2 linked regions of the Arabidopsis thaliana genome follow. The protein of the gene in region 2 purifies or fractionates together with the protein of the main gene of each other region. This does not show direct contact. Each region holds a gene or a part of one and is shown on either strand. Other genes may lie near its edges.

What was found.
Region 1: the proteins of PP2A (region 2) and NRP1 purify together in Arabidopsis thaliana (affinity purification with western blotting, with the first as the bait; one study listed by BioGRID). This does not show direct contact.

Annotation. Positions count from the first base shown.
Region 1 is NC_003071.7:1,031,271-1,046,297, forward strand, and holds NRP1 (nodulin-related protein 1), read right to left. Parts: upstream 8,915-15,027; 5' UTR 8,703-8,914; coding exon 8,139-8,702; 3' UTR 7,818-8,138; downstream 1-7,817. Other genes in the region: AT2G03390 (uvrB/uvrC motif-containing protein), read right to left, coding at 84-256, 350-444, 595-654, 761-1,084; AT2G03410 (Mo25 family protein), read left to right, coding at 2,637-3,683; AT2G03420 (uncharacterized protein), read right to left, coding at 3,830-3,968, 4,119-4,215, 4,296-4,385, 4,481-4,667; AT2G03430 (Ankyrin repeat family protein), read right to left, coding at 4,922-5,056, 5,125-5,271, 5,347-5,471, 5,717-5,849, 6,084-6,266; PAP9 (purple acid phosphatase 9), read left to right, coding at 10,258-10,947, 11,034-12,299; AT2G03460 (Galactose oxidase/kelch repeat superfamily protein), read right to left, coding at 12,459-13,207, 13,300-13,324; AT2G03470 (ELM2 domain-containing protein), read right to left, coding at 14,424-15,027. UniProt on the Arabidopsis thaliana protein: Prevents accumulation of abscisic acid (ABA) after heat treatment, thus reducing thermotolerance. May be a negative regulator of the ABA signaling/synthesis pathway.
Region 2 is NC_003070.9:26,344,069-26,360,068, forward strand, and holds PP2A (serine/threonine protein phosphatase 2A), read right to left. Parts: upstream 6,630-16,000; 5' UTR 6,444-6,629; coding exon 6,188-6,443; intron 5,760-6,187; coding exon 5,645-5,759; intron 5,559-5,644; coding exon 5,450-5,558; intron 5,353-5,449; coding exon 5,275-5,352; intron 5,190-5,274; coding exon 4,824-5,189; 3' UTR 4,653-4,823; downstream 1-4,652. Other genes in the region: PPME1 (Pectin lyase-like superfamily protein), read right to left, coding at 43-249, 334-609, 700-903; CLE26 (CLAVATA3/ESR-RELATED 26), read right to left, coding at 9,832-10,188; AT1G69980 (structural polyprotein), read right to left, coding at 12,491-12,610, 12,693-12,959, 13,256-13,388, 13,482-13,579. UniProt on the Arabidopsis thaliana protein: Associates with the serine/threonine-protein phosphatase PP2A regulatory subunits A and B' to positively regulates beta-oxidation of fatty acids and protoauxins in peroxisomes by dephosphorylating peroxisomal beta-oxidation-related proteins.

The sequences.
Region 1 (15,027 bases), on a different chromosome or scaffold from region 2:
GAAACGAAACCAACATAAGTTCCTCATTATGAATGTAAACCAAAGTGAGACAAGCACTGAGATAATACATATGAACGATGTACCAAAAGTTTTGTGTCTAAGTTTCTGTCCCAAACGAAATGCATACTCTGCTTTCTCAAAAGCCAAGGCTTTCGCAGATACAGCTAATGATTCTGCCTCAAGCTTTGAGATTTCATCTCGTAACTTAGCTGCCAAACCGTAATCCTCACTGTCAATGGCATTCTGGAGATCTGCACTGCAATGATATCAAATAAACAGTGAAGATGGTATACTCCAATGTTTACACATACACAAGAGAAACAAGATGATGACGAATGAAACTGCTCACCGTAGCCTTATAATGCTAATACCCTTGTCTTGAGCTTCACTTTTAGCTGATGACCCTCTTTTCCCTTCCTGCAGCCTTATCGACTCCTCTTCCACCTACCAACCACAGACTGTTATTCACTCCTCCGTTGCGATTGCGGTATACAAGAATACACAGATAAGTCTAGCCAAAAGCTAACATCTTTGAATGATCAAATAGTTCAAAACTTATTGCACTTAAAGATCATATCATAGCATTTCATATACCTCAGTTAGCTTTTCTCTTAGTTGTTGCGCAATGTCGTACTGCTCCAGATTCATTGCATACTGCCATTTCAAAACACACCAATCCACATATCATTCAATATTGTAACACATCAAAACCATTAGCAACCATCTTGAAAGAGATAAAAACCCTGCATTTAGTCTTAACCTGTACACGAGTAGCCAAATCCAGCTGAAAGAAAAAGATCAATATATCTTCATTAGCACTCTCGCTTCTCTCAGAGCTCGGGTCTAAACCTTGTTCACCACCTCCTTGAAATGGCCATCTAGCTTCAACCCTCAACAAATTTCTTTGCTTTAATGACTTCCAATGGCTTCTAAAGGACGGTGATTTACGCAAAAACTGACACGAAACACATCGATCACCGATCAAGCTTGAAGCTTTCACTGAATTTAAACGATTCCTCAACAAGCTTGAAACTTTTACACTTCCACAGATTGTTAATGTGCTTAACGACTGACTTTGAACCATTTTATTTTATCAAGACCGATAATATTCCTACAAAACTCAACAAGAACTTGTCTGAGATAGCAAACTTGTCTAAGATTCAAAATTGAAATCGAAACACGAGTCAAAACCTTCGAGTAGACAGCAAAACGTTTGTTGAATTGAAATTTCAAGAGACTTACTAATTGGTTTAGAGAAATTCAATAGATGCCGGAAAGACTTTGCCGATCACTGGAGAAACTCGCCGGAACGACGGAGAGTTTTCGTCCTCACAGATTTTTCTTTCTTTTTCGTTGAAACTTAATGCCTCTGGATAGATTATTTATTGTTTTTAACTCTCCTTGGGCTCTAAGGCCCAATTTAGGCCTCATAAAGGCCCAATGTTTGGAAAAGAAATACGGCTGAAGGAGACAAGCCGATTACGAAAAAAATAAATACATATCCAAACACACATCAACAATCTATGCTAAGTAAGTTAAGTTTTGGTTCATGCCTACAATATGGTGCTCAACTGAATGTCACATGTCTTCTTATATAGAGAAATCCATAATCTTTCAAGCTAAGATCAATTTTCGTAGATAGAGAGTCGAGATCACTCTGCATCATACGTGATCTCATTCTCTATCTGCAAAATTTGTTGAGTCCGTGAATTTTTTCAAATTTAATATGATATAAGCTAATAAATAGTTTTGAAAGTATAGAAGGAATGTAGTTATTTAAAAATCAAACATATATATGAATATACATTCTAAAAATAAATTTCATGAAAAATTTGGTAATTGTCTAAAATTATAAAGAAAAATAGATAAAACCTTTTTAAAAACATGAGTATTAGATAAACATATGATATATGCAATAATCTAAAAGAGAATTAAGATATAACAAAAAACTCCAAACATAATTAGCAAAACAATTGTGGTGAAAAAATGCAACTATTTGTGAAAAAGTATGAAAACAAAAGACTTTTAATGAATAGACACAATTTTAAAATATTAAAATTTTGAAGAATTATTAATTTAGAGAAAACATAATTAGATAATTAGTTGACTAGAGATATGGACTGTGTAGAATAATAAGCTTCAAAAAATTGTTTAATATCTAATTGACATCAAAGATTCTTCAAACTAACCACAACGAAAATTCAGCGCGGCAAAATTAGCCAATCAAAGACTCCATTTTTAGGTTTTGTTGTCTCTTTCTTCTTCCTTTCTTCAAAGAAGAAGATTTCATAGAAACAACATTTTTGGATTTCACAGCGAAACCCCTGAAAAAGCTTTTGAACAAACCCTAGAATAAAAAGATAGAGAAAGGCATAGATTTTGTTTTTGCTCTGTTTTTCTTTTTGTACTTTGTTTTGAGGTCAACAAAAAGGAGAAACATAGGTGCGTGTGTCTCCATAATCGGTGGTGCTAAACGACACGGAAGCTCCGATTTAGCTCCGTCGTCAAAGCACCGCCGTACACGGAGCCATCTACGCGTCGGATCCACCGATGATGAATCCATCATCAACATCACATTTAGCGGGAAGCTTAGCAGTTTAAGCGGGAACCTCGGAAACCATGGAGGAAGCACGAGAATGAAAGGTCTCTTCAAGAACAAATCACGTCTTCCTGGTGAAATCGTACGTCAGACTCGAGATCTCATCGCTTTAGCGGAATCCGAAGAAGAAGAAACCGATGCGAGAAACTCGAAAAGGTTAGGGATTTGTGCGGAGTTGTGTCGAAACATTAGAGATTTGAAATCGATTCTTTATGGTAATGGTGAAGCTGAGCCTGTTCCTGAAGCTTGTCTTTTGTTAACTCAAGAGTTTTTCCGAGCAGACACGCTTCGTCCTTTGATCAAATCTATACCAAAACTTGACCTAGAAGCAAGAAAAGACGCGACACAGATTGTCGCGAATCTTCAGAAGCAACAAGTCGAATTTCGACTCGTTGCTTCTGAATATCTTGAATCGAACTTAGATGTTATCGATTCGTTAGTCGAAGGTATCGATCACGACCATGAGCTGGCGTTGCATTACACGGGAATGCTTAAAGAATGTGTGCGGCATCAGGTTGTTGCAAAGTACATACTCGAATCGAAGAATTTGGAGAAGTTTTTCGATTATGTTCAGCTTCCGTATTTCGATGTAGCTACCGATGCTAGCAAGATCTTCAGAGAGCTTTTGACGAGGCATAAATCGACTGTAGCGGAGTATCTTGCGAAGAACTACGAATGGTTTTTCGCAGAGTATAACACCAAGTTGTTGGAGAAAGGAAGCTATTTTACGAAGAGACAAGCGTCGAAATTGCTTGGAGATGTGTTGATGGATCGTTCGAATTCAGGTGTGATGGTAAAGTATGTGAGCAGTTTGGATAATTTGAGAATCATGATGAATCTTTTAAGAGAACCAACCAAGAACATTCAGTTAGAAGCATTTCATATCTTTAAACTCTTTGTGGCAAACGAGAACAAACCTGAGGATATCGTGGCGATTCTCGTGGCGAATCGGACCAAGATTCTTCGTTTGTTTGCTGATTTGAAACCTGAGAAAGAAGATGTAGGTTTTGAAACTGATAAAGCATTGGTTATGAATGAGATTGCTACACTTTCTCTTCTCGATATCAAAACCGCAGATCGATAAGAAAAAGAAAAAACCTGTTTGTACACGATGCCTACATGTATTTTTGTTTTGTAACCATTTGGATTTGGATTGTGACTTAAACAATTAGCATAGATGATTCTCTCTAAAGCCATTCTTGCAAACAAAAAAATACAATGATGTGTGTTTTATTCAACACCAGTCTTCTTTTTCAACATTGTGATGAATTTCTCCTTTTCTTCATCTGTCATTCCTGTGGTTGAGCAATCTCCTACTCCCCATTCTGCTCCTCTCAGACAATATTTGTCTTGAATCTCTCTTTCATTCCTAACCAAAACAGAACACCAAAACCAATGTTACATGTTACAATGTTACATCTTATAAGACCAAAAGGGTATATGTAAAGTTTCAAGATTTGCACATTGTTGGCTCTGTTACATCATAAAAGACCAAAAGGGTGTGTGTAAAGTAACTTACTTTTCTTTGTTGAGTTTGGAATTCTCAAGTAATTTCTTGAGAAGTGGAGAATCTTTGAATCTGGCATCGTTCTCTGCGTAGAACTTCTGGTTTTTTGCTGCAATTAGCAAGCTTTTTCTTAGAGCAGAGAAACACAGTTTTTTTGTTCTTGAATTCAAGAAATTGAAAGATTGGTACCATTGAAACGGTCAAGGAACTCGATTTTTGGTAATTCAGGACCTGGAACTGATTCTATACCGGGAGATCCCGACATTAAGCCTGCTTCAGCTGAGGACCATCCATACATATACATATGATGCTGATGATGATGACACGCATATACATTGAATCACAGGAAAAGTATTGAGTAGTAGTGTAGTTACCGGTACAAGGAGAGAGGAGAAGGGTGAGTGAGGCAGCGAGAGGGAAGGTGGACTTGCAGAGAAGATGGTGAAACGGGGATGGTGCTGATGATGATAGAGCCATGGAGATACGAGGATGATGAATTACTCTTGGTTCATAGAGACTAAAGCTTGGTCGAGAGAAAGAAGAGATTTTTGTTTGCATCATTTTGCCTTTAGATTTTTGTGAGGAGGGTAAGTGACTCTTAGGAGATAAGAAGGATATATATAATTTTTAACCAAACAAAAAAAAAAACTTTTTTCTCACTTGTTTCCAAAATTGCTTTTGAGAAAATTTCTAAAGACAGAACATGAATTGATAAGGCAGAAACATTTTGCAAACATGATACAGTAAAGAAAAATCCTTTTAAGTAACTAAACAACTCTCAGAGTTAGTAAGTTTTAAAGTAATCCAGAGTCATTTTATCCTTCAAGCATGGCCTTAGCAGCATCGATAAGTGCAGGTCGGAATTCATTGGTAGCTCGGCCTAGAACAGTGTAGCCTTCCTTGTCTTCTACATCCACATCTGCACCATGTCTTATAAGCAGGAACGCAACCTGATCCATGGAAACTTTTAACTTTAAAGAAATGTTGCTTTTAAGGTTGATTAGATTGAAAATTTTACCTGTTTGTCATCGCAGATAACTGAATGCATGAGTGCAGTTTGACCCATTTTATCCGTAGCATCGATCTCTGCTCCTTCTTCAATAAGAAATTCACAAACTTCTAACTTTCCCACGCTTGCTGCCCTGTGAAGCGGAGTGCAACCAACCTAAAAGCCACACAAAAAAAAGTTTGTTTGTGTGTTGATGATCACAAGCAACAAGACATTAAGAAGCTACAAAACCTTGTCTGTGATGTTAATCTTTGCACCGTGTGTTAATAAAAGCTGAGCAATCTCCAACCGGCCTTTGCTAGCAGCATAGTGAAGAGCAGTGCGACCACCGTTATTTTTGGCATTGACATCAGCACCTAAACACAAAGAAAATGTCATCAAATGTATCCATCTTCTCATACATGCAATGAATTGAAGTTAGAGCTAAACACTGGAAGAACTACTTCACAGTAGGAACTTATATGTCCAATTCCAATGGAGGACTATTAGATATTAAGAGATCAACTACTCAGGACTGATAAAGATTACAGCTTTATGATAGCAAAACAAGATTTTACCACCGTTTCAACAACAATAAGGCACATAAGATTATGTAACATACCTCTGGTCAAAAGCACCTCAACGAGCTCAGCATTACCGATGCTAGCAGCGGAATGCAAAGGAGCCCATCCTTCATCATCCTTGCTATTGATTACAGTCTTTGCTTCATCTGAACTTGATAACAACTTCACTATCTGCAAATCCCACATCCATAAACATTTTTACACATACTGACACTGTTCCTAAAACACACTAATCTCAAGAACCCAAACAACGCAGATTCGTGTGGTTTTCAAAGCGAGACTCAAAAACTTCCCTTAAGGCTTTCTCATCAGTTAAACAACCTATTTACTGCAGCTATAGTAATCAAAGAGGTTATCTAACCACAGATTAGTTCTTAATATGATTGAAAAGAGAAAGGAACAAACTTGAGAATGGCCGAAGGAAGCAGCGACATGGAGGAGAGAGCGACCATCTTCGTTTCTGAAATTGAGAGATTTAGAGAGCTGTTCTTCAGATAATGACATGAACAACGATGAATCTCCCCATTCCGCTGCTTTGAACAACTCTTCGTCTCTCATCTGCTTTGCTGTATCGGTTGCAATTTCCATGATTGATCAAAGCTTCTTCTTCTTCCAAAGTTCGAATTCAGAAAATCCAGAGAAAGTGTACAAAAGATCAAAGACAAGAGACCCTAAATTAAAATTAAAACAATTTCTCCTAAAATAAGCAGAAAAAGATTAATTTCCCAACAAGAAAACAAAATGGATTCGCATATTGGGCCCGTTTATGGGCCTTTTACACAATCTCAGGACTTGCGTTTGGTTTATCTATCCGCTTTCAGTTCGTATTCATTCGGTTTTCAGTTTATTTTTCTAAAATTTAGTATTCATTCGCTTATTTTGAAATTTTGTTTCGCTATCGGTTTTGGTTCTTTTGGTTTCAAAATTTAGTATTCATTCGGTTATTTTGCTTTGAATATATTCGGATATTCGGTTATTTTTGGATATTTTCGGACATTTTCGGTTATTTTTGAGTATTTTTACTACTTTATCTATTTTCAGGTATTTTTAATTATTTTATTTGATCCAAAAATAATTAATATTTTAGAAAATATAATTATACTAGATTTTAACCCGCGGTATACCGCGGGGACAATTTATTTTTTAAAGTTAGTATATATAAAAATTTGTAAATTGTATCTATCTATAAAATATTTTATTTTATAGTTTACAACTGTTATTAAGTAACGTCCTCCCAAACCCGTCTCGCAAAACCCGTTCTGCAAAAAAAACCATTTATTTTATTAATGTTGATCTTATTTATGAATCATTGTCTAAATATTTTAGTCGATGCGGGATGTTGAACCCACACATTTTTTCGCCAATTGGTTAATATATGTTCATTTTTAAAAATTTTAATCACAAAATATGACGGAAATTTTTTTGAGATTTTTTTAAACTATATATTATATAATGATGTTAAAATTTTTGATATATTAAACTTTTTATAAGTTTAAATATTAATAATGTTTTATAAAGTTTAAATATATAAATATTTTAAAATATTTTTGCTTTTTAGATAATGACATAATAACTCTAAAAGCAAAGATTTAGAAGATTTAAATCGTTAATTAAATATTTTTCTTTCTAAATAATTAATTTCAGTAGCATGACATTGTAAATAAGTTCAAATACATGATTTATTTATTTAAACAAAAAACGTTTAGTAAGAATAATATTTATTTAAACAAAAAACTTTGTTTTAAAATATTGTTAACAAATACGTTTATGCTAATTTTAAGGGATTGATGTGAAGTTTGTTTGGATTAAATTTGATTGATAATGTGGTTGACAATTTAAATTAAGAATTTAAAGTAAAATTAATTATTTCGGAAAAAAAAAATTAATGCTAATGGCATTGAGTTGTAAATAAGTCCAACTCTAAGATTTATTTGTTAAAATGGCTGCAAAAATGTATTTATAGATTTCGGATATTTTTGATTATCCAAAATATTTTGGTTCCGTAGTAATTCAAGTTTCGATTCTTTTGATTATAATGTTTAGTAATTATTTTTAAATTTTTGTTTCGATTGACTTTATTTTGCTTTCCTATTTCAGTTCGATACATTAGGTTTAATTTATTTGCCAAAACCTAAAAATTATCATTTTCTTGTGTTTTTCCTCCTTCTTCTCAGGATAATAATTAGTTTATTTATTTTTAGACGGTCCATTTAAATTCGATATTAATTAGTATTACTTCCCATAACTTAAAGTTCGGTTCTAATTATACAAATATTTGATTAACGCAATCTCGAGTGGTCAACAACATGATACATGATCTTTAACATCATAATTTCCTCCATCATACACAAATGACAAATCCAACAGTTAATAATAATTCAGAAAAAACAACAGCTTACTAAAACAGTAATTATAGAAGATAATTACTAACATAATTATTTTTAGAAACTAAAACATTACTCACTTCATAAAACCTTGAGCCATCTTAGCATAATCTCCAAACCCATGACCACCTCCGGACTTCTCATCTTCTTTCTTAGCCGCCGGTGCTCCAGCTCCACCACCGTGTCCTCCAACATTACCGTGGCTTCCAGTTCCACCGGTGGAGGAGTGAGAGTGGGAAGTTTCGTACTTGTGAAGATATTGTTCAGCCTTTTCAAGGTACTGACCAACACCGCTCTTTTCATCGAGCTTACCGTATCTAGAAGCGGCGTCTAAGATATCAGCGGTGGCTCCGGCGACTTTGGCTTTGTCAAGCTTGTCTGACTCGTGACGAGCAGCGGCTTGAGCAGCTTCGGCTACGATCTTGGCACTAGCCATGAGCTCAGCGTTCGTAGCCGGTCTGTGTGTTGTTGGATCGGTGTTGGAGACCGGTTTATGTGTTGTTGGCTCGCCGTGACCGGGTTTATGTGTTGTTGGCTCCGTGTGACCGGGTTTGTTTTTGTTGTGGTTTGGCTCCGGATCAGAGCTCTCCGGTTTCTTGTCGGAGAATTTCTTCTTTACTTGATCGGTGAAGAAATCCATGTTTCTTTGTTTCAAAGGAAAAGTTTTTTCTTGTTCTTGAATTTGGTAAACGTACAATAACAACTTATCCGGAGGATGATATTTATTGAATTTCTTGAAATTAGGTTTTTGTTCTTTTTCTTTGTCCACTAGTTTTTGGTCTTCTTTTTCTTTATCCACTAGTTAATGGGATATTTATAGTCACGATTCTTACGCCTTAGATCTACTTTTCGACTTTAGTGAGTGAATTTTATTCTCTTCCTACGTAAAAAAGATGCTTGATTACATTTGACCATTTCGCAAAAGTCGACCCTCATAACCGGTCTTGATAAATTCTTTCTTATTATCTTTGATTCTTGATCATAGAGTTACTTTTATTGGTGGATGGGTACTTTTAGTTTTGGGTATTTGTTTACCTATGTAAATGCTAGTATAATCTTGGATTCTTCATCATAAATGTAGAGTTTATACTTTATAGGGAAGTAATATTTGGTGTATTTTACTACACTTAAAAGTTTTAGTATTGGTTGAGGTTTTGATGAGTGGCACGGAAAAATGGGTCCTCATGCCACGTTCGTCCGACTATCCAACTCTTTGACCATTTATGATTTTGTCGGCAGAATAATTAAACTATTTGAAGATTGGTAGCAGAGTTTAGATGAGTTTTGGATGGGCCTATGAGAAGAGAGCTCATATGGGCTCATTAATAGCCCATTATTAGATATATATTCTGAGCCCAACTTTGTTTGATACATTCCATTGAACGTTGTCGTATGTGAAGAAAAGGATGTGGTCATTTCCATCACACTTACTAATTTTTTGTCAACAAGATGACCACATTATTATGACAGAACAGAAGTGAACAAAAATCTAAGTAAGACCAAGAAGAGTAAACTGTATTTATATATGTAGAAACTTGTGTAGTATAGTATATATAAGAAGCAGTGAAAGCAAAGTATGGAGAAGAAGAGAAGAACAACAGGAGGTGAAATTTCAAAGGAGTGGCATGTGAACACATATCCTATGGTTTCTTCAAATTTCCATTGAAACCATTGAGTTTTGTGTTCTCAGGTCACCCCTTTGAATCTCCCCTGTTCCATTTTTTCACCTTACTAATTTTTTTTATTCATACTCTAAATTTGTGAGCTTTTGTGCTTTCTTTTTTTTTGGTCATAAGTGAGATTTTATGCTTTTTTGATTACACATTTATTATAATGGAACCTCTATTTTGTATCTGAAACAGAGACAAAGCATTAACCATATCCTACATATATACCTTAACAAATTAATGACAACTCTGGTTTCCAAAACAATAAATTATGTATGATTTGACAATTAAACTGGTTGATAAAATGTAAATTTGGAATAAATAATTAGTTCCATAATATATGTTTTTTATATCTAAAATAGCATAGTCTTTTGAAGGTGAAAAGTCATAAATCAGGTTTGGTTTCAAACAATGACTTCATAATCACTCAAAAAACTCTTCTTAATTATCACCAAAACCCCAAAACCAACTAAAACTGAAAAAACAAACGTTGACTTTTTGACTAACCACCATCCTCCGCCGTAAATCATGATCGCCGCCGTTTACACTCTCTTCTTCTTCTTCCTCTTAATCTCCTCTGTTTATTCCAAAGCCACGATTTCAATCTCTCCCCAAACCTTAAACCGATCCGGCGACATAGTCGTGATCAAATGGTCCGGCGTCGAATCACCGTCCGATCTCGACTGGTTAGGAATCTACTCGCCACCGGACTCTCCTCACGATCACTTCATCGGCTACAAATTCCTCTCCGATTCACCCACGTGGCAATCCGGGTCGGGTTCGATTTCACTTCCCTTAACCAATCTCCGATCAAATTACACTTTCCGGATCTTTCATTGGACCCAATCCGAAATAAACCCGAAACACCAAGACCATGATCACAATCCTTTACCCGGAACTCGTCATCTCTTAACCGAATCAAACCAGTTAAATTTCCGGTTCGCTGTTAACCGACCGGAGCAGATTCATTTAAGTTACACAGATAACATCAACGAGATGAGAGTAGTGTTTGTAACCGGAGATGGAGAAGAACGAGAAGCTCGCTACGGTGAGGTTAAGGACAAGCTCGATAACATAGCGGTGGCGCGTGGAGTTAGGTACGAGATAGAACATATGTGTCACGCGCCGGCGAATTCTACAGTCGGATGGAGAGATCCAGGTTGGACATTCGATGCCGTGATGAAGAATCTAAAACAAGGGATTAGGTATTATTATCAGGTAAGTAGAATCAAAAAACCTTAAAGTTTGAATTTTTAGGGGTTTTGAGAATCAAAATGTTGACTTTTTTTTTTGTTATTGATTAGGTTGGGAGTGATTTAAAAGGATGGAGTGAGATTCATAGCTTTGTTTCTCGAAATGAGGGTTCAGAAGAAACATTAGCTTTCATGTTTGGTGATATGGGATGTTATACACCTTATACAACATTTATCCGTGGAGAAGAAGAAAGTTTATCAACTGTGAAATGGATTTTAAGAGACATTGAAGCTTTAGGTGATGATAAGCCTGTGATTGTATCACATATCGGAGATATAAGTTATGCACGAGGTTACTCGTGGATTTGGGATGAGTTCTTTACTCAGATTGAGCCTATTGCTTCTAAAGTGCCTTACCATGTATGTATTGGTAACCATGAGTATGATTGGCCTAACCAGCCTTGGAAACCAGATTGGGCTGCTTATGTTTATGGTAAAGATAGTGGTGGTGAATGTGGTGTACCGTATAGTGTTAAGTTCAACATGCCTGGTAATTCAACGGAAGCTACTGGTATGGTTAAGGGACCTCAAAGTCGGAACCTTTACTATTCTTATGATATGGGTTCTGTTCATTTCGTTTATATTTCGACAGAGACTGATTTTCTTAAAGGTGGGAAGCAGTATAGTTTTTTGAAGAGTGATTTGGAGTCTGTTAATAGGAGTAAGACACCGTTTGTTGTTGTCCAAGGGCATAGACCTATGTACACTACGAGTAGGAAGATCAGAGACGCTGCTATAAGAGAGAAGATGATCGAGCATTTGGAACCGTTGTTAGTGAAGAACAATGTGACGGTTGCTTTATGGGGACATGTACATAGATATGAAAGGTTTTGTGCGATTAGTAACAATACTTGTGGTGAACGTTGGCAAGGAAATCCAGTTCATCTTGTGATTGGTATGGCTGGAAAAGACTCACAACCGATGTGGGAACCGAGAGCTAATCACGAGGATGTCCCGATCTTTCCTCAGCCTGCTAACTCAATGTACCGTGGAGGCGAGTTTGGGTACATTCGTTTGGTTGCTAATAAGGAAAGACTTACTCTTTCTTATGTGGGAAACCATGACGGAGAAGTTCATGATGTTGTTGAGATTTTGGCTTCTGGGGAAGTTATTAGCGGTAGTGATGATGGTACTAAAGACTCAAACTTTGGATCAGAATCTGACTTTGCAGTCTTGTGGTACATTGAAGGAGCAAGTGTGATGGTTGTGGGAGTGATTTTTGGGTACTTTGTCGGTTTTCTTAGTCGTAAAAAGAAAGAATCTGGAGTTGGATCATCTAATCGTAGTTGGATCCAAGTGAAAAACGAGGAGACATGATTCAACTGATTTGTTTTTGTTTGTTTGTTTGTTTGTTTGCCACACAGATTTGTATATCAAATTATTAGAAGTGAAACAAGAGACAAGACTCATTCATCAGAAGTTACATTCACCAAAAGAACACACAAGTATTCCAAAAGAAAACACATTCAAGTTTCATCAAAGAGTAACATCAAGAACCTTCTCCAAAACAACATATCCTACAGGTTCGGTAAGCACATCACCAAACCACTCAACAATCCCCCAAATTTCACAACTTTTGCGCCTTTCAAGCGCAATCTCTGCACACCGAATCATCTTCTTATAGCCGCTATCAGGTCCACGAGAAGGCAACTCCTCCTCCCACAAAACCGTTAATTTTCCTCCATAATCAGCCAACTTAACATTGGCACCAGAACCGAACATAGGTAGTCCTACCAAACCCTTCAAATCTCTCCACATCATTGCGTTAGTGTCATACCATCTGAACACTCCATGAGTACAAGAGTACAAAACATTCTGTATCTCGCAAGAAGCTGAAAACTTATAATGATCCATTTGTTGGCCAACCATGTCCCATCTACCTTCCTTGGAATTGTAAGCAACCGCCTCTCTTTTTTGACCTACAGGCACCACATGGAACTCTCCGTCAATGCATGCGGTTCCGCATCCGTAAAAATCGCCTTCCGTCTTGCTGCAAGTAATGGTATCAGGATCCCAAAATTGTGTTTCAGTGTCAAACACCTCGAACGAATTCTTATAGGTGTAAGAATCACCATCCAAGCAACTTCCTGCTACGTATATCTTTCGATCAAGGACACTAGAAGAAACAGAACATAGCCCCTCACGCAAGCTTGGAGCCTCGCGCCACGTGTGAGACCGACAATCAAGAATGGAGACGCTTGAAGAGGACTCTAGGTAGCTGGATCCTGCAATGTTATAGATATTAGAACCAACAGCTACGAGACTAGAAGAGTGCAAAGGAGGAGAATGTAAATTTGAGACTCTAGCCAAAACATACCCGCTTGACTTCTTGATGGTGCCATTGGTTAGGGTTTGATCAGGTTTCCGACAGAGGGTGAACCAGGTAGTGTTCGTATGACGATCTTGGAACCGTGAACACACATAAAGACAACTCTCGGTGTTGCCTAAGAGTGACCGGACCTTGTATAGCTCTGGTGAAGCTAAGAGACATCTAAAGCTCTTGGAGACGAGATTTAGAGTCGGATAGTACAATCTTGAGACGCGTGCAAAGATGCTCACTAGCACATCATCGGGAAGAAGGCTAAGTTATCTATCTGAAAGTTCGTGGAATTTATTAAACCGCGTGCAAAGATCCTAAAGTTGTCCACAATTATAAGCGAAATATTAGAACTGGTTCATGTTTATAACTTCTCTATCTTCTGCTGCAAATTTCTTGGCTGGTTTAGTTTGGTGTCGTCATAACTTAAAGGAAAGAACAAAAAAGCAGAGACTTATTAATTGATAAAATTCTCAAGAGTGTCATTAATTTTCAGTGGAGCTGATACATGTATTTGAAAATACTTTCACAAGCTCCTTCATTTATCCTTGGACTTTGAAAGCTACTCTTTCACACCTTTTTTCTTTTGGTGAGGACTCTTTCACACATTTTGCCTATTCATGTAAAACATATCCATTAATTTGGTAAATTGCATCAACATGATTCACCTGTTTGCTCTTTTGTGTGGAAGTGAACCTGGTTCAAAGAGAGCTTCTCAATTGCTAATATATATTTTTGAACAATTTTGTTGTCACAATTCTTATTTTCTTTCATTTGTCATCTTCAAAATATGCAAAACATATCTAGAGAAGATTTTCACTGTTAAGACATTTGAAGCTGCAAACAAAAATTTGGATAACTTAGCATTTTTTTTTCTTTTCTTTTTATACCATAATAATGTACATTGAGATCTTGAGGACTAAAACAACTAGAGAAAAAAAGGTTCATGGATTTGAATAGCATTTTTTACAGAGTCAAATCAATCAGGAAGTCCTTTCTTCTTCAACCTTAACCAACACAAAACTCCTAAAGATGAAACTTTCAAACTTCTGCATCTTTATCTAATTCACTTAAGAAAAAAAAAATCTGCAGAATCCATGAAAGAGGAGAAGAAAACTTTTTATTTACTTCTCCTTCAAGTTATTATCATCTTTATCTCCCCAATCGTCTTGACCAAATATCTCCTCAATAATGTTTGAAGTTGGTAGTAGATCGTTGTTCTTGTTCCAACAATCTGATGTGAATCTCTGATCATCAAATGAATATGAATCTTCACCAGATCTGTGGCACTCTCTGTTTTTGATTGGGTTGTGACTGAAGATCAAGTTGGAGTCTTGTAACTCGAAGGACATACATGAGTCGTCTTCCACATTTACTTCTTCACCAAAACCGTCTCTTGAAGCCTTATCCGTATCTACACAATGAGCATCGTTACTTGATGAGTCGTCTTCCTCTTCTTCTTCTTCATCATCATCATTGCTGCTGGTTTCTTCTTCTTCCTCGTTATCTTCATATGAGGAGCGATTTCCATTGTTGTCTTCCTCATCTAAAGATTTGGTGCTGTTAAAAATGTTGTATTCAACTTGCCACTCGTCATCATCACTGTCAACATCTAGGGCTTTGAACCGATTCTGAATACCCCGTCTCCGCAAGATGAAGACATTGAAGTAGTAGCTAACCAACTCCTTCATGGTTCTTGAAGGAAACGTTCCCTTTAATTGCTTCCAG
Region 2 (16,000 bases):
CGCACTTTATGTATTAAGAAATAAGTATGAGATGTTACGTACCAAGTACATAGAGGTTCCACTTCCGAAGATGAAATCGAATGTTCCTTCAACGTAACAATCCTTGAAGAAATGGTTTCCTGTATCGTCACAGATTGTGTCTTGGAAACCGTAGAATTTGCAGTTGTAGAAAGCAGCAAAATTTCCGGAGATTCTCATGGATAAAGCTTGTGCTCCCTTAGTTTTACCATCTGGTGCCGGCGCAGTGTTCTACATATGCAAAAAAATAAATCACTCGGCCATGAAATAGTCGACTAGTCACATAGATGTATGATATATAGTAGGATCACTTACCTTAACGACGATGTTAACGGCCATGAAATAGTCGGATAAGATAATGAGAGAGGCGCTATCAACGGTTCCATACTTGGCGGCGGTACCGTCATAGGTGATAACAGGCATGGCATTGGGTTGTCCCATCAATGTAATGAAGGGTTTGTTCCTGTCGATAGTGACCTTCTCTTTGTATTCACCAGGAGCCATCTTTATGATCACCCGCTTTGTGTTCCCTGCAGGAACGCTCTTTATTGCGTCCGTTAGTGTTTTGAATTCACCACCCTTTGGATTCACCTGCAATAATTTTTACATGTTTTTCAAAAAAATTGTATCAAAATCTATTGGTACAAAGGATGAGTTTAAGACAATAAGTGTGAATAGTACGTTGATGATACGTGGAGCAGCCTCAGCAGCTACAAGAGCAGGATCTAAGCCTTTACGTTGAGCCAATGGACCAACGTTGGCATTGAACCACTGCGCCACTTGGGGTTTGCCCTCTGGGATTGGTGTCACATCATCTGCGAACACCATCGGTGTAACAAAGACCATCAACAGGCCTAATAAAATGGACACATTTGTGTATCCCATTTTTTATTTTATTTTTATTTAAAAATAAAAAGTTTTTTTTGTTTTATTATTTTTTTTTGTTTTTTTTCGTTTTTTTTTTCTGGATGATTTGATGGAAAGATGGCCATGAGTATATATACTGTTTCAGAGACCTAAATTGTTTTGAGTTTTGTTCTCGTTTGCTATTATTGTTTGTGGTGATCCATTTTTGCAACCCGCTATAATTTCTCTTGGAATTTTGTATGTTTTCAAAATATTTTATTAATTCTTGATAGATTTTACTATTAATATTTTTACTACATCGTTTTTTTTTTTGTGATTTTGATAAGACTATACAACTGTTAATTTATGTACCATAAGTTTATTAAAAAAACAATTTAAAAAAAAAATTTGATTAAATCCATGTCGAGAGACACATCCGAGGAGGTAACAACATCAACATGTTCACCAACACCATTTTGATAATAACATACCTTTGGGCTATATTTATAAAGATGGTTTCTTAAAAGCTTTATGCAAATAAAAATTAAAAGCATTCAGATTGACACCTCTTTCAAGAAGAAGCTGCAATCAAGAGGACATAAACATGTTATTTTTCATTTACAAAGACTCACAACAAAGTTTAAAAGATAAACAAATTTACTTGAAAGATCGAGATTTTCATTTTTGAAGAGCAATTCTTAGAGAAGTATGTCCAACTTCATTCTGAGCCTCAATATCGGCTCCACAATTCAAAAGCAGCTGAGTCATACAACTCTAGTTACTTAAACAACGCGGAGAGGGGTTTCAAAGCAGTGACTGCGAGCTTCCAAAGCGGCTCTATGTTCGACAAGATGAACAACATATCGCAGACGTTCAGGCTCAAACCTTGCGACGTGGAGAGAAGTGTGTTTATATGAACATAAGCAATCGAAAAAGTACAATTTGATAGACAAAAACATTAGAAACCAGTTAAGGACAACAAGGAGAGGGAGTTGTGAGAAATACAAAGGCGGGATCCAAACGTGGTTTGCTTTGACAAGATAACACCATCGATAATATCTCTTTTAATTTTTAAGAAAAGTCTTTTGCATTTACATGTATAAAAGTTTATTTTTCTTTGAATATAATTTAATATTAGATTTAAAAAAAAGGACAATTTTGATGATAAACTAACTTTGGGCTATATTTCTAAAGTTACATGAATCCAAGGTCTCATTTCGTAAATTTACTTTTTGTTCGCCGTTTCAAAAAAATATCTCTCGCTAACAGAAAAGCTTTCAGCTTTTTTTTCTTCCTCTTCTTAAAACCCTACCGCCGCGACCACCGACACTGAGAGACTTCGCCGCCGTTAAACCACCAGTGAGAAGCTTACCGCTGCGACTTGAATGAAGAGGTACATGTGCTTTAGAGCTCAGATTCTAACCTTTTTTCTTGACAATTCGATGGTTTCTTAAAAGCTTTATGCAAATGGAAACTATGAGATTTTAGGTTTTGTGTAACTTGGTTTCGTTGTTTGAATTCGAATTATCTGGTGAAAATTCTGCTATTTGTTTACATGTGTAGGAGACAGAAGAAACTGATGATAAACAATGAGATGGATTTGTCAGATGCAGTGATTGTAAAATCTGGTAGATTGAAATCAGTAGTGTGGAATGATTTCGATAGAGTTAGAAAAGGTGAGACATACATTGCAATCTGCAGGCATTGTAAGAAGCGACTTAGCGGCTCAAGCGCGAGCGGGACTTCGCATTTGAGGAACCATTTGATTAGATGTAGGAGGAGAACTAATGGTAACAACAACGGTGTTGCTCAGTATTTCGTTAAGGGGAAGAAGAAAGAGTTAGCTAATGAGCGGATAAAGGATGAAGAAGTGCTTAGTGTAGTGAATGTTAGATATGAACATGAGAAAGAAGAACATGAAGATGTTAATGTTGTGAGTATGGGTTTGGATCAGAGGCGGTGTCGATTCGATTTAGCCAGGATGATTATCTTACATGGTTATCCGTTGAGTATGGTTGAAGATGTTGGATTCAGAATGTTTATTGGAAATTTACAGCCTTTGTTTGAGCTTGTTGCTTTTGAAAGAGTTGAATCTGATTGTATGGAGATTTATGCGAAAGAGAAGCATAAGATTTTCGAAGCGTTGGATAAGTTACCTGGGAAGATTAGTATTAGTGTTGATGTGTGGAGTGGTTCGGGTGATTCTGATGAATTCTTGTGTTTGGCAGCGCATTATATTGATGAAGGATGGGAATTGAAAAAGAGAGTTTTGAACTTCTTTATGGTTGATCCATCTCATAGTGGTGAGATGCTTGCTGAAGTTATAATGACGTGTTTGATGGAGTGGGATATTGACCGGAAGTTGTTTTCTATGGCGTCGAGTCATGCTCCTCCGTTTAGTGAGAACGTAGCTAGTAAAATCAGAGACCGGTTATCGCAGAATAAGTTCCTTTACTGTTACGGCCAATTGTTTGATGTGAGCTGTGGAGTTAATGTCATTAACGAGATGGTTCAAGATTCCCTGGAAGCTTGTTGTGACACAATAAACATTATTCGAGAGAGTATTAGATATGTTAAAAGCTCAGAATCTATTCAAGATAGATTCAACCAGTGGATAGTTGAAACGGGAGCTGTAAGTGAAAGGAACCTATGCATCGATGACCCAATGAGATGGGACTCAACATGCACCATGCTGGAGAATGCTTTAGAGCAAAAGAGCGCGTTTTCGCTCATGAATGAACATGATCCTGATTCCGTGTTATGTCCATCTGATTTGGAATGGGAGAGATTAGGAACAATTGTTGAGTTCTTGAAAGTCTTTGTTGAAGTGATAAATGCATTCACAAAGAGCAGTTGTTTACCCGCCAATATGTACTTCCCAGAGGTATGCGACATACACCTCCGGTTAATTGAGTGGAGCAAGAACCCGGATGATTTCATTAGCTCTCTAGTTGTAAACATGAGAAAGAAATTTGACGATTTCTGGGATAAAAACTACCTGGTTCTAGCCATCGCTACCATATTAGACCCGCGGTTCAAAATGAAGCTGGTTGAATACTATTACCCTCTGTTTTATGGTACTAGTGCTTCAGAGCTCATTGAAGATATTTCTGAGTGCATCAAACTGCTGTACGATGAGCATTCTGTAGGATCGCTATTAGCGTCGTCAAATCAAGCTCTTGACTGGCAGAATCATCATCATCGGTCAAACGGTGTTGCCCATGGGAAAGAGCCTGACGATAGACTCACAGAATTCGATAGGTACATTAACGAAACAACTACTACACCGGGTCAAGACTCTAAATCAGATCTAGAAAAGTATCTAGAAGAGCCACTTTTTCCCCGGAATTCAGATTTCGACATCCTGAACTGGTGGAAAGTTCACACACCTAAGTACCCAATTCTCTCCATGATGGCACGTAACGTGTTAGCAGTTCCAATGTTGAATGTATCATCAGAAGAAGACGCCTTTGAAACTTGTCAAAGGAGACGGGTTAGTGAAACATGGCGTTCGCTTAGACCGAGTACCGTGCAAGCCTTGATGTGTGCACAAGATTGGATCCAAAGCGAACTAGAAAGCTCTTGAAACTCTCGATTCATCTTATTTTGATCTGAGTGTTGTTTTTCTATAGATTAGATCTCAGCTCCAGCTTGTTTGTTTATTGTCTGTACCTCTCCACAACATTCATATTTATATCTACCTAGCTAGGGCTTTTGCTGTGTAACATGATCATCATTTCTCTGTACAAAGTTGGCTTCAATAGAATTTGGTGATAGCGGTTTCAGTTACTTGGACCAGAATCTTTGCACACAAAAAATTACGGATTTTAAAAGACAATGGAGAGTTTAACAAACAGAAATAGACGTAAGGAATATGAAATTACAAAAAGTGGTTAAGAATAGAAGCAAAAGAGACGAAGAGCTAGTGTGTGGAATTGCAGCTTTAGTTCTTTTGGTACTTACAAAAAATAATCTGGAGTCTTGCGAGTGGTTTCGGGTTCGACTTGACGTGGAGCTGGATCAAACTGAAGGAAATTCTGGTCCATGTTCTCACCGATCTCTAGAATCGCAGCCATGTTGCCACAACGGTAGCAATAGTTTGGGGCACTAAATACAGTCACAACGTTCTTTTCTTGGCACCAATTAAAACCTTCCATGACAAGTTGATGTGCTCTTGAAATCAGAGAGAGTCCATTGGTGTGGTTAAACTGAGTAGCGATATCTTGTCCGAAAGTGTAGCCTGCACCACGAGGAGATATTCCCCAACCGCATCGGTCATCTGGATCAGACCATAAGAGATCACACATTGGTCCTTCATGTGGAACCTAGAGGCAACACAAACATCTTAGTCTCGTTATGTAAACATCAAGTAAGGTGCATCCTTTTGTTGGTTTGGATTCTGGAACTAACCTCTTGAATTCGATCTAAAGATCGGATGTTGTCAAGTGTATCTAAAGAAGGTGAAAGTCCTCCATGTAAACAGAAAACCTACAGAAAAAAAGAGTTCTGTAGTCAAGTCCAAAACAGCAGAAACAGAGAAGAGATTGTCTAAGGTAGTGAAAACGCTCATTAGTTTTTTAAATACCTGACTCTCAATAAGAGCTGTAAGTGGAAGATAATCAAAAAGATCAGTGAAGTGCTTCCATACATTAGCATTTCCATATTTCCTCAAACATTCATCATAAAACCCATACCTGAAAAAGGTAAGCAATCAGCAAGAAACATTTTGAGAGAGGCTGAGAAGCTTATAATACAAAACTTAGTAGAGAAAACAACTTACACTTGAGTAATTTGACGGCTTTCATGATTCCCTCTTAGGATAGTAAGTCTATCTCTGTAACGAACTTTCAGTGCTACCAAAAGTGAGACTGTCTCCACAGAATAATACCCTCGATCTTCACAAGTTTAACAATGATCCATTAGTTAGCTAATTGAGCAACTTAAGTAGGAAACGGAGCTTAAGGCACTTAAACAGAGAAAAGAGAAACACAAATCCGAGTACTCGAACATGAAGCTTCACAAACTACATTAAAATGTTATATCTCCCAAGGTCAAGCTACTCCATTGTAGAAGCCCTGAGAATAGTTAACAGCTAAAACAAAAGTTTCGTCTTTTCAATGACAAAATCTTCCAAAACCAAAACTTTTCGATAGATAAACAATAATCTATCCATTTCTAGTAAACACTTCCAAATAAGTCTACATTAGCCCCAAAAGGTCAACAAAATCAAATCCAAATTAGGGAAAATACCCAAATCCAAATCAAGAGATGTGAGAAATGTAGAAACCCTAAAAAAAGCTATAAGGTAAAGAGAGACTCTCACCAACATAATCACCCATGAAAAGATAATTAGTATCAGGAGAAGAACCACCGATACGAAAAAGCTCGATTAGATCGTAAAATTGGCCGTGGATATCACCGCAGACGGTAACCGGACATTTAACCGGTTGAACATTATACTCTTCCACAAGAATCGTCTTTGCGTGCTCACACAACATCTTCACCTCCGTTTCAGATAACGCTTTACACTCCATAAGCTGCTCGATCTGACGATCGATATCTCCGGTCGCCGGCGGCATCTTTCTCCGATCTAAAGTAAATATAAACAATCCGGATTGTTTTTAATCTCGGATCCGGTTTGTGTTTGGATTCAATCTATCTATCATCATCATCACTCCATGGATTTAGAAGAAGAGAAATTGTGAATTTCGATTTTTGTTGGAACTTTGTATTTGTTTTCTTTTCATCGGAGTTGATAATTAATTATTCTCTCCGGCAGCCGCACCGAGTCAAAGTCCATTGTGGGGGTCTGACACGTGGCTTTCATTTTTTCAGGCCCATTCATAGGGTCGTTAATCGTTTAGCCCATTTGGCCCAACGAAATTGAAAGAACTATAACATAGCCCACCATAATCATAAAACTTTAACCATCGTTTAAACTTTAAAGCTTCGTTGAAACTTGAAACTCATAAACTTTTAACCTTAAATGTAACTCCTAATTCCAAATTAGTAAACCCTAATCATCATTTTAACGTAGTCGAAGCTCAGACCACTGAACCTTATCGTACATGCGAAAGTGTTCGCTCCAAAAATATGTCCCAAGAGAAAAATGTAAGATAAGAGTATATGACATTTGGTATGCGGATGAAAAGTTTCATACAAATTAAACTATTTTCATAATTTTCCTTTAATTTATTCGTTCACCTTTATTGTTGTCTTTGTAATTAAGTAACTATGAATAATTGTTAATTAAAATTTCTAGAGCGATAGGAGCAGTCGTATATGTTTAGTTCAAATGTTCCAGCTTTAAGACTGGTCTTCAGTTACTTTTGATTATGAAGACTGGAAGCCCAAAAAAAAAAAAAAAAAAAAGACAAAAAGAAGTTGATTGATTATTATGTCTCTGTTTAGTCTGTCTAATGCGTTTGGTAATAATTCAAATTAAAGATATTCAAACTCTTGAAATTGTGAACTTTAAAAGTGAACATGTAGGGATCATATATTATATATATGTTTAATTTTGCTTAATTAAGACAGAAAAAATAATGGTATTATATATTTGCTTTACCATGCACATATGTTCGAGAGTTACTTGTAAACCATTTTATATGTGGAACTCATGTTTTAATGGAAGAAGACATTTCATGTATCAAGTTTATCGTGGATGGTTGTAGAAGATTTTATAGAGCCGAACCGTAAACTCATGATTTTGCTATATATTCTTGCTTTTCTTTATTTGCAAATAATTAATCTACATTATTTGGTTAGTAATTCTTTTTTCAAGAACCTTCTCATCTCATAACTAGTCATACACTACGATAAATTGTAATACCGGTTCTCATTTTTTGTTCTTTTCATTTTAATACATATTAGCATATGTTGCGTAGTGTGTATGTTGGTGGTGTAGTAAATTAGTAAGCTAAGTCTAATAGTTTTTTGTATTTCAAGATTAGTAAAATTAATTTAGAAATTAGAAATATATGGAAAATAAGTGAAAAAAGAGCGAGAAAATGAGTAGTGGTAGAGTTAACCCCACAAAAGAACAAAAGAATAAAAGATGGGAAAAAAGCATAACACAAAGAAGCATTGTGGTCTCCTTTATTTGTAAGAACCATTACACACATTCTCCTTTTCAAATTTCGGCATTTAGAGCTCAAATTATATCATATATATATGCCATTGCATTTATAAATTATTAATATCTTATGTATCCAATCTTTGTCGACATCTCTTTTATTTGCCCCTTTGGAAGAATATATGCTTTCAGAATACATCAATAAATAATGGATTCGACATTTTTTTTAATGATTGGATAAGACTCTTTCAAAGTACAATTGTTCTTTACAAAAAAAAAATCCATCTTAATTCTTTTTTTTTCATTCAAAACATGTGATAAGAATCATATATTGTCTATATATAGAACCATTTTGTGCGAGTGTTTTGGTAATCTACAATTTCTAATCGTGAATATATACACAAGGGTCAATCAGGTACGTAATTATGATGTTTTCATTTGTTTTAAAAAAACACACTTGTGCGCGCTCTCTCTAAAATACCATGTTATTTTGTCTGCCAAATCTGAATTGAATTAGCATGTTATTTAGAACAACATAGGGTACTGCTATTTGATAAGAAAGCATGTTAGTAATAAAATAGTACCCATTTTGTGTTTTTGCACATAAAAGGAGTACACAATTATTTACCTAACTTAATAAATGTTAATGATCATTTAGTGCAAGTACCCAATAAACAATGTGAGTAAGGAAATAAAGCATCTAAACGTTATTTGATGATGGATCAAATTAGAAATAATCCCAATATAAGTCGTGCAATGCGTGAGAAAACAGGATTGCATTGCATGTACGTATACTTCTTTTCTTTCTTGAAATCCTTTTAATAATCAGTGTCTTCATTTTTTTAAAACCTCCCCTAACTAGCTCAATATTTCTTCACTATAGGAACAAAACAAACATTTAAAAAAAAAAAAAACAGAATTGTAGGGTCACAAATATTTTGCGCATATTTAAAAGATTCGATCCCAAATGAAAGGAAAAGAGAATCTAGCAGCAATACAAGACCTATATTAATTTGCCAACAATTATACTTCTCTCTCTCTTTCTGCTTCTTACCCAAGCTTTAACCGTACTTATGCTCTTCCTGGTGGTCGTCTTGAATTCCCTGCTCTCCTGTATTAAGACAGAACATAGAGTTACTTAATCCAAGTCATGTTTTCTTGTTTTTCTTTACTTTCGTATAAACGATAACAAATCATACAACATTAATTCATTAATTGATATTTTAGTGATTTAGTCAATAGACTACTTTAATACGATCTACATGGAATTAACTGTGATCATAAGTGGGTTACCTATATAACTAAGAAAAAAAAGGGAGTGTTCAAAGGGCTAAAGCTTCCATAAAGGAAAAAAGAAAGTTTTTAAAAGAAGCCATCTTATAGTGAATAATTAAAAATAGATTGTTAAACGTAAAGACTGAATAAAGCTAGCAGACAGCCTTTTGCGAGCTTCTGTGATATGTCTCACCGAATCTGAGTTAGTTAAAAGAAACAAAGTGTTTGTTTTTTTAGTAAAATTGTGCTAGAAGTATATTTATGGTGACCCGAAACAAAACTTATTATAACATGCATAAACATATAGACAATCAACGAGTTAGCTTGCTTGATTTCATCTAATATAGTCATTTCTAGATGTCATTCATTAATCTCAATATCGAATTTATATCTAGACCATACTAAGAGCATGTCCTTGGTAAAAACCACATGTTAAACAACACCATGGTCGAAATGCAAGTGACCAAGTGGTCCACGCGTATAATTTGAACATAACGGAATCTAATATGGGGTTGTAGAGAATTTTAGGCTTATAGCCCTTGAACTTAGACCTAACTAATATGAATGTGGCACCACACACGGGTTTATGTCATATATTATTATATATTAATGAAATATCATACAGAAACATCCAAGACACATATATGCAGGTAGGGGTAAGGATTAGTTAAAAGTGATAAAATAAAACGAGAAAGTAGTAAGAACCTGTTGTGTATAGGATCAGGTCCACGAGGCACTTTTCTTTTGCTTGCTACGTAGCTAAGATCGTCGTTCCTTGAACCATCTTCAAGCTCTTGTTGTATTTCCTTGGCATCGGAGTTGTTCATGTTCACAGCTGTAGTAATCTCTTTTGTTTTGTCGTCCTCCTTGTTGTTTTGTAATACAAACGCATCGATCATAAGAAGAGTGACTACACCAACAGTAAATAGTGTACGGAACCACAATTGGAGACGAAGGGAATGGTTATTTCGCATGGTTTCTAGCCTTTGTGGATATGTTTTTATCCTATCTTCGTTGGTTGGTTGAAATAAAGACAGATATGAACATCGATCGAAGTAGTAGGGTTTATATTCGATTTTCTTGAATGGAAACTATAATAGAGAACAAAGATGAGTGACAACAAAAGCAAGAGAAAGAGAGGGAGATGGAGAGAGAGAGAGAAAGAAAGAGAGTCTTATCACTTTGTTGAGTTAGGATGGTTGGTGTTCTTTATATGTTCGATGGTTTTTATTCTGTTCAATATGTTTTACAAACTTTACTCGAAACATTATAGGATAGAGAGAGAGAGAGAGAGAAATTATTTTCTGCTATGAATCTTTATATATTTCTGTGAGATTTTATAACTAGTGTTATCTTTAAGCATGAATCCGTATTTTTATGTCGCCTCATTATATCCCAAATAATATAAATATATATAGCAGGGATAATTATATACATTAAACGCAATATTCTCTTTTTGTTTTTTTGTTAAGGACCAAAAATATGAGAAAAGAGAGACAATGAAATATGGAACAGCTGGTCCGAAACGTGACATGAAGGGAATTTATTTACCAGCCTTCACTTTATATATATCAAATGTGTATTTCCATGCAGATTTACTTAATCACTAAAATTAATGTACTCATATGATATTAGATTATTAGAAGTACACGTGACAAAGGGTTCCCTCTAGTACTTTTCTCACGTACAATTCATCTCTTTCGTATCCAAAAAGTAAAGCTAAGCACATAACCATTCCATGCATACCTAATTTATAACCATATTTTATAAACATAAACAGTTATCGTCACGTATTCTCACAAATTTCTATATCTATAATAACTAATTGTATACGCATGTCCTTATGTCGAATTTGGCACAATACATAATATATAGTATCTACCTAGTTCCGATCAAGCTTATTATATTCCTCACCGTTTTATTTTTTAATGTATTTAGTAGTCTAGTACCATTTATAATAAAATAGATCATTATAAGAGCTCCCCTATGCAAAACATCGAATAATATATGTTGATCTGTCGAGATATTAGCAATCTTGTACATTAACAAAACATATTAATTATGCGTTAATAACATTAGCCATTCTTTATGTATCTTAAGATTTGCACATTTTAAAGTTTTCAGAAATAAAGATGAGAATGACAAGATTGACTAGACCCATGATTAAAAATTGTTCCTTAGGAATAATGTTTTATATCACTGTCACATAGCAGCCATAATTTATCCCATAGTTTATATAAATATAGGGCCAATGAAGCATAAGTGCATAATTCATCTCATCGATCAAATTTGTTAAGATTTTACATGAATCCCACTTCAAAATAAATTACCTTTCCTAAAAAAGTTAAATGTATATTTGTCCTGAGAATCTTATGCCTTTGTGTGTTACTCACTAGCTTCTAGTCGAAGTAACTGAAAAAATGGCACTTACATATTCATTTTATCATTAACGAGATTAAAATACTAAAAAAAAGGTAACTTTGTAAACAATCTCCATTGCTAACGTGGTGACCACTCCCGTCTATAAGAATCCTTCGGGTCTCTATTTTTATGCAGGCTTCAACATTGCCCAACGAGAAAATTTGCTCGAAGAATTTACAAGAGTTGTTGATTACTATACGTTATATAATCTATTTCTATCATCGCTCGCAATTTACATATAATTACTTTTAAATTTAACGATAAACTGTATGCTGAAGATACGTTTTTTATAAACTAAATCAACTTTTTACAACCGTTTTTACATGCAACGTCACTTGTTGGATTTGGTTTAATACTTCTACTCACTGCAAATTAGTTTTGACGGTGCGACACTATCCTTCATAGTATCTTCGTTTGTCGTTGACCGTGGTCCACATTTCTTAGGCACATTGATAAGTGTAAGGTTTCTGTTGGACCTGTTGGACTCAAGAATGATACGTTACTTACTTTAACTAGTCTATTGCACAGTTGTACTAACCTCTTCCTACCAGCAAGCTCATCACCGAGGTTCAAGACCAAGCAATCATACTATATACCAAACTACTAAAGGTAAGTGAGGACATCGTTTCACCGTAATCGATGCTTTCTCTAAAGTTCAGAGACGATAAGCAAAGTTACATCATCAAAGCCAAACATGGTTGCCATATATGAAACAAGTAGTCCCAATTATATGAAGTCCCCCTAAAGCTATTCTATACACTCAAACATATCTCATCTTTCAACAGACAATGACAAATGTTAAATCTGTTTCTGAGTGAGCAGATGAAAGCTTTTACATACCGAGAAATGGTTCTTTCAAAACCGAGAATTGCCTTGCAATCTTCCACTTGATGATACCCCAAGCATCGGTACCGTCTGTCTCTTTCTGATGTAAATAGCAGCTCCGCTTAACAGAAACAGTCCTAGCATAATCGACTGTCCATTTATTCAAAACAATCTAACATTAGCACATATTCTAAAAGAAACGACTTGTTGAAATGTAAGTGTTTCTCTGTACCTCAAAACCAAGAACTGATAACTTCTCTTCGTCTGCAGATGGCACACAGCTTCTATAAGTTTTGTAAGACTGAGACTTCACTTTCGTCGCCGGTGATGAATCATCCAACAGATTCCTTGTTTTCGCTTCTTCGTCATTGTTATTCGATTGATCATTTTGTGTTTCTTCTTCTCCATTTTTCTTATGTGCATCCACTTCTTCTCTAACCTCTTTACATTTGAAAGGAATACGATAACCAGTTTCACTGCAACGATACTTCTCTTTTCTCTACAAAAGAAACCACACCAACCAAAACAAAGAGAAGAGATCATATAAATGTTCTTCAGATTCCTAAATCCATATCTAATTCACTGTATAATCAATTAGGCCGATAAATTATTGATTATGAAACCCTAGATCACCAAAAAAACAATCTAGATCATATAAATGTTCTTCAGATTCCTAACCAAATCCAATTCACTGTATAATCAATTTCGCTGATTAATCAGATTAAGCTAGTTCTGAAACCCTAGATCACAGATCCGATACCAAAACAGAGCAATTAGAGAGGAAATTTGAAAAACCTTTTCGGAGGAATTGCAAGAGACACAAGGACCTGAAGGAGAACAAGCGAAGGTGATATTACTTCCTTTTGGAGTTTCTTTGAAACCTAGAAGGAATCTACGCCCAACGCTTCTGATCTCTTCATCTCCGTCACTGTAGAGATCGATAAATCAAATACGAGTCAACAAGCGAGATCGATCATCGTCAGATTCAAATTAACTTGGAAGAAAATTGTAAGTACGAAACTGTTCATGTGCTCTGGCGAGAATAGAGGATGGAATTGAAGAAGCGTAGATGAAGATGAAGAAGATAACCAGAAAAAGTGAAGAACTCTGAGAAGCCATTTTTGTTGTTTCTTCTTCTTCTTCTTTTTTCTTCGTAGAAACAAAAATAACTCGCAGAAGAGATGTGATAATTTACATAAGAGCCCCGATACTACTCATTATTTCTCAAGTAAACCTTTTACCTAAGAGAATTATAAAATTAGCCCCGATAGTTTCAATTAATCCTATCGAATCCCAACATAATCCTATGTCTACCATTGAATGGTAAACCGATTTCATAACATTTTGATTCATTGGGCCTATTAATTTATTTCTTTAGCCCAATAGTATAATTATTACAAAACTACAAAGCCCAACATCTCCTTGTGTTGACTTTGCTTTCTTCTTGTTGTCGTTGACCTTGTTCACGACGTCTCTTCTCGACATCGACATCGTCTTCTTCTTACGATGCTTCTTCTGTTCTTCACAACCAAGCTTTACTTATTGCAGGATTTAATCTAGGATTCTCAATTCCAACAGAGACACATATAGTAACCAGGAAGGTTTAAAGGAAGCCTGATCACTAAATCCCATTTAACACTACTAGTCTCGGTTAAATTAAGGACTGTGAAATCCATAGATGGTATTATAATATCCGGATCATAATTTTTCATACGCTGGTGTTGTTTACCTCTTTGTGCTGCATAAAACCAGTCAATGGTGATATACATATAAAGAAGAACAACAGACACGTCTCCACTTCTTCTTTTTTTGTGTGGTGTAAGTCTAGCCCATAAGGTGGATTTGGGAGCTAATTGTTCGTTTCCATAATTCATTATCTTATTGTATAAAATTTTGTTTTCAAAGTTAGTCATTAAGATTTACATGGAGGGTAAGGGGGTCAGATGACATCCATAAGATTTAGAAAAAATCATAATTCTTAGGTGATTATGACACAAACACACATGAAATAGCTAGAAATCATTCCTACTTCTATCCACTGATAACAATATGGAGCAACACAAATAGAAAATCAAAAAGTTTTATAGTTTCACCCCAACACTCTAAGGAGAAAGAAGAAAAAAAAAAAAACTACATAACCGTTAAATTAAACATCCGGCTTCTATTCTTGACCACGCTTCATTATTAAGTATCCCATAACAGCAATTGCAAGGATTACAAGGAGAGCAAGTCCTATGAGGAGCAAAATTTTCGACATACTTCTTTCTTCTTATTCAAAGATCTTAACTTAGCTTCTTATCTTGTGTGTTGTTTTTACTGTTGACAGAGAAAATAAACAAAGAGCGTGTATATATAACTAGATACATAGAAATAAAAGTTAATTACTGAGATTTACGGAAAATTTACTATACAGAGAATTGAAAAAATGTGATTATAAAAATGTATAATGTAATATCATGCATGCCAAAATTTTAATATACATATATCTAGTTTCCAGTTTTTCTACTTTGTTTCATTCTTTCCAAATTTTCTACTAATATTTTACCTTTCTTATTTCCATATACAGTAAAACCTCTATAAAATAAAAATGTTGAGATCATGTGATATTTTATTAATTTATAGTATTATTAGTTTATCTACTATTATTTAATAATTTTTAAAAGAATTAATTGTTAAATTTTTATTAAAAGATGAATTAAGAAATTTTTATCTAAACAAAATTAGTGTTGTGCATGTTATCATTTTTTTATAGTTTTGATATATTGTAAAATTTTAATATTTAGGAAAACCATCTTTTGATAATAAATTACAAATCTTTTAGATGAATTCACTTATACAAACGATAGATGTAAATTAAAAAAAAAAATACAAACTCTTTAGATGAATTCAGTTCTACATACTCTTTTGACTTCATTTGTCGTATTTTTTTTCTTAAAAATAAAACTATTAAAATGAAAATGATATATATTCTATTTTTTAGAACACGCAAAAATGAGATATATTCAAAATTTAAAAACTATAGAGAATGTTTCACTCCAAACCAAGTTTTTCAAACTAATGCTATCATATTTATAAAGTATATTACGATTCAATATTTTAAAAACACAACATAATAATTTTTTTATACAATAAAAATTAGAGATAAGCTGTAACAAAAAATTTAATTTTAATTAAAAACACACACTAAAAGCATAAAGTACATTAATATATCAATTTATATATATGTAATTTATATGATTATCAATTTAAATATTAAGGGACTATATATTTACACAAAGATTTTCAAAAAATATTATCCTATTATCTTATAAAATTTTATCAAATTTTTCATTAGCGACTTGGGAAACATTAATTTTTTCTCCTATCAGAAAAGATTATAATTATCCATAGAATCATTAGAAGAAACAGAAACATCGTTGGATAATGTCTTTTCGCTTGAAATCGAATTTCAAATCGTTCGATAACAACTACAACTAGAATCTCATAGAAACACTAACACTTGATAGACTTTTTGAATCAGAATCTTCAAAGTTTGATCTA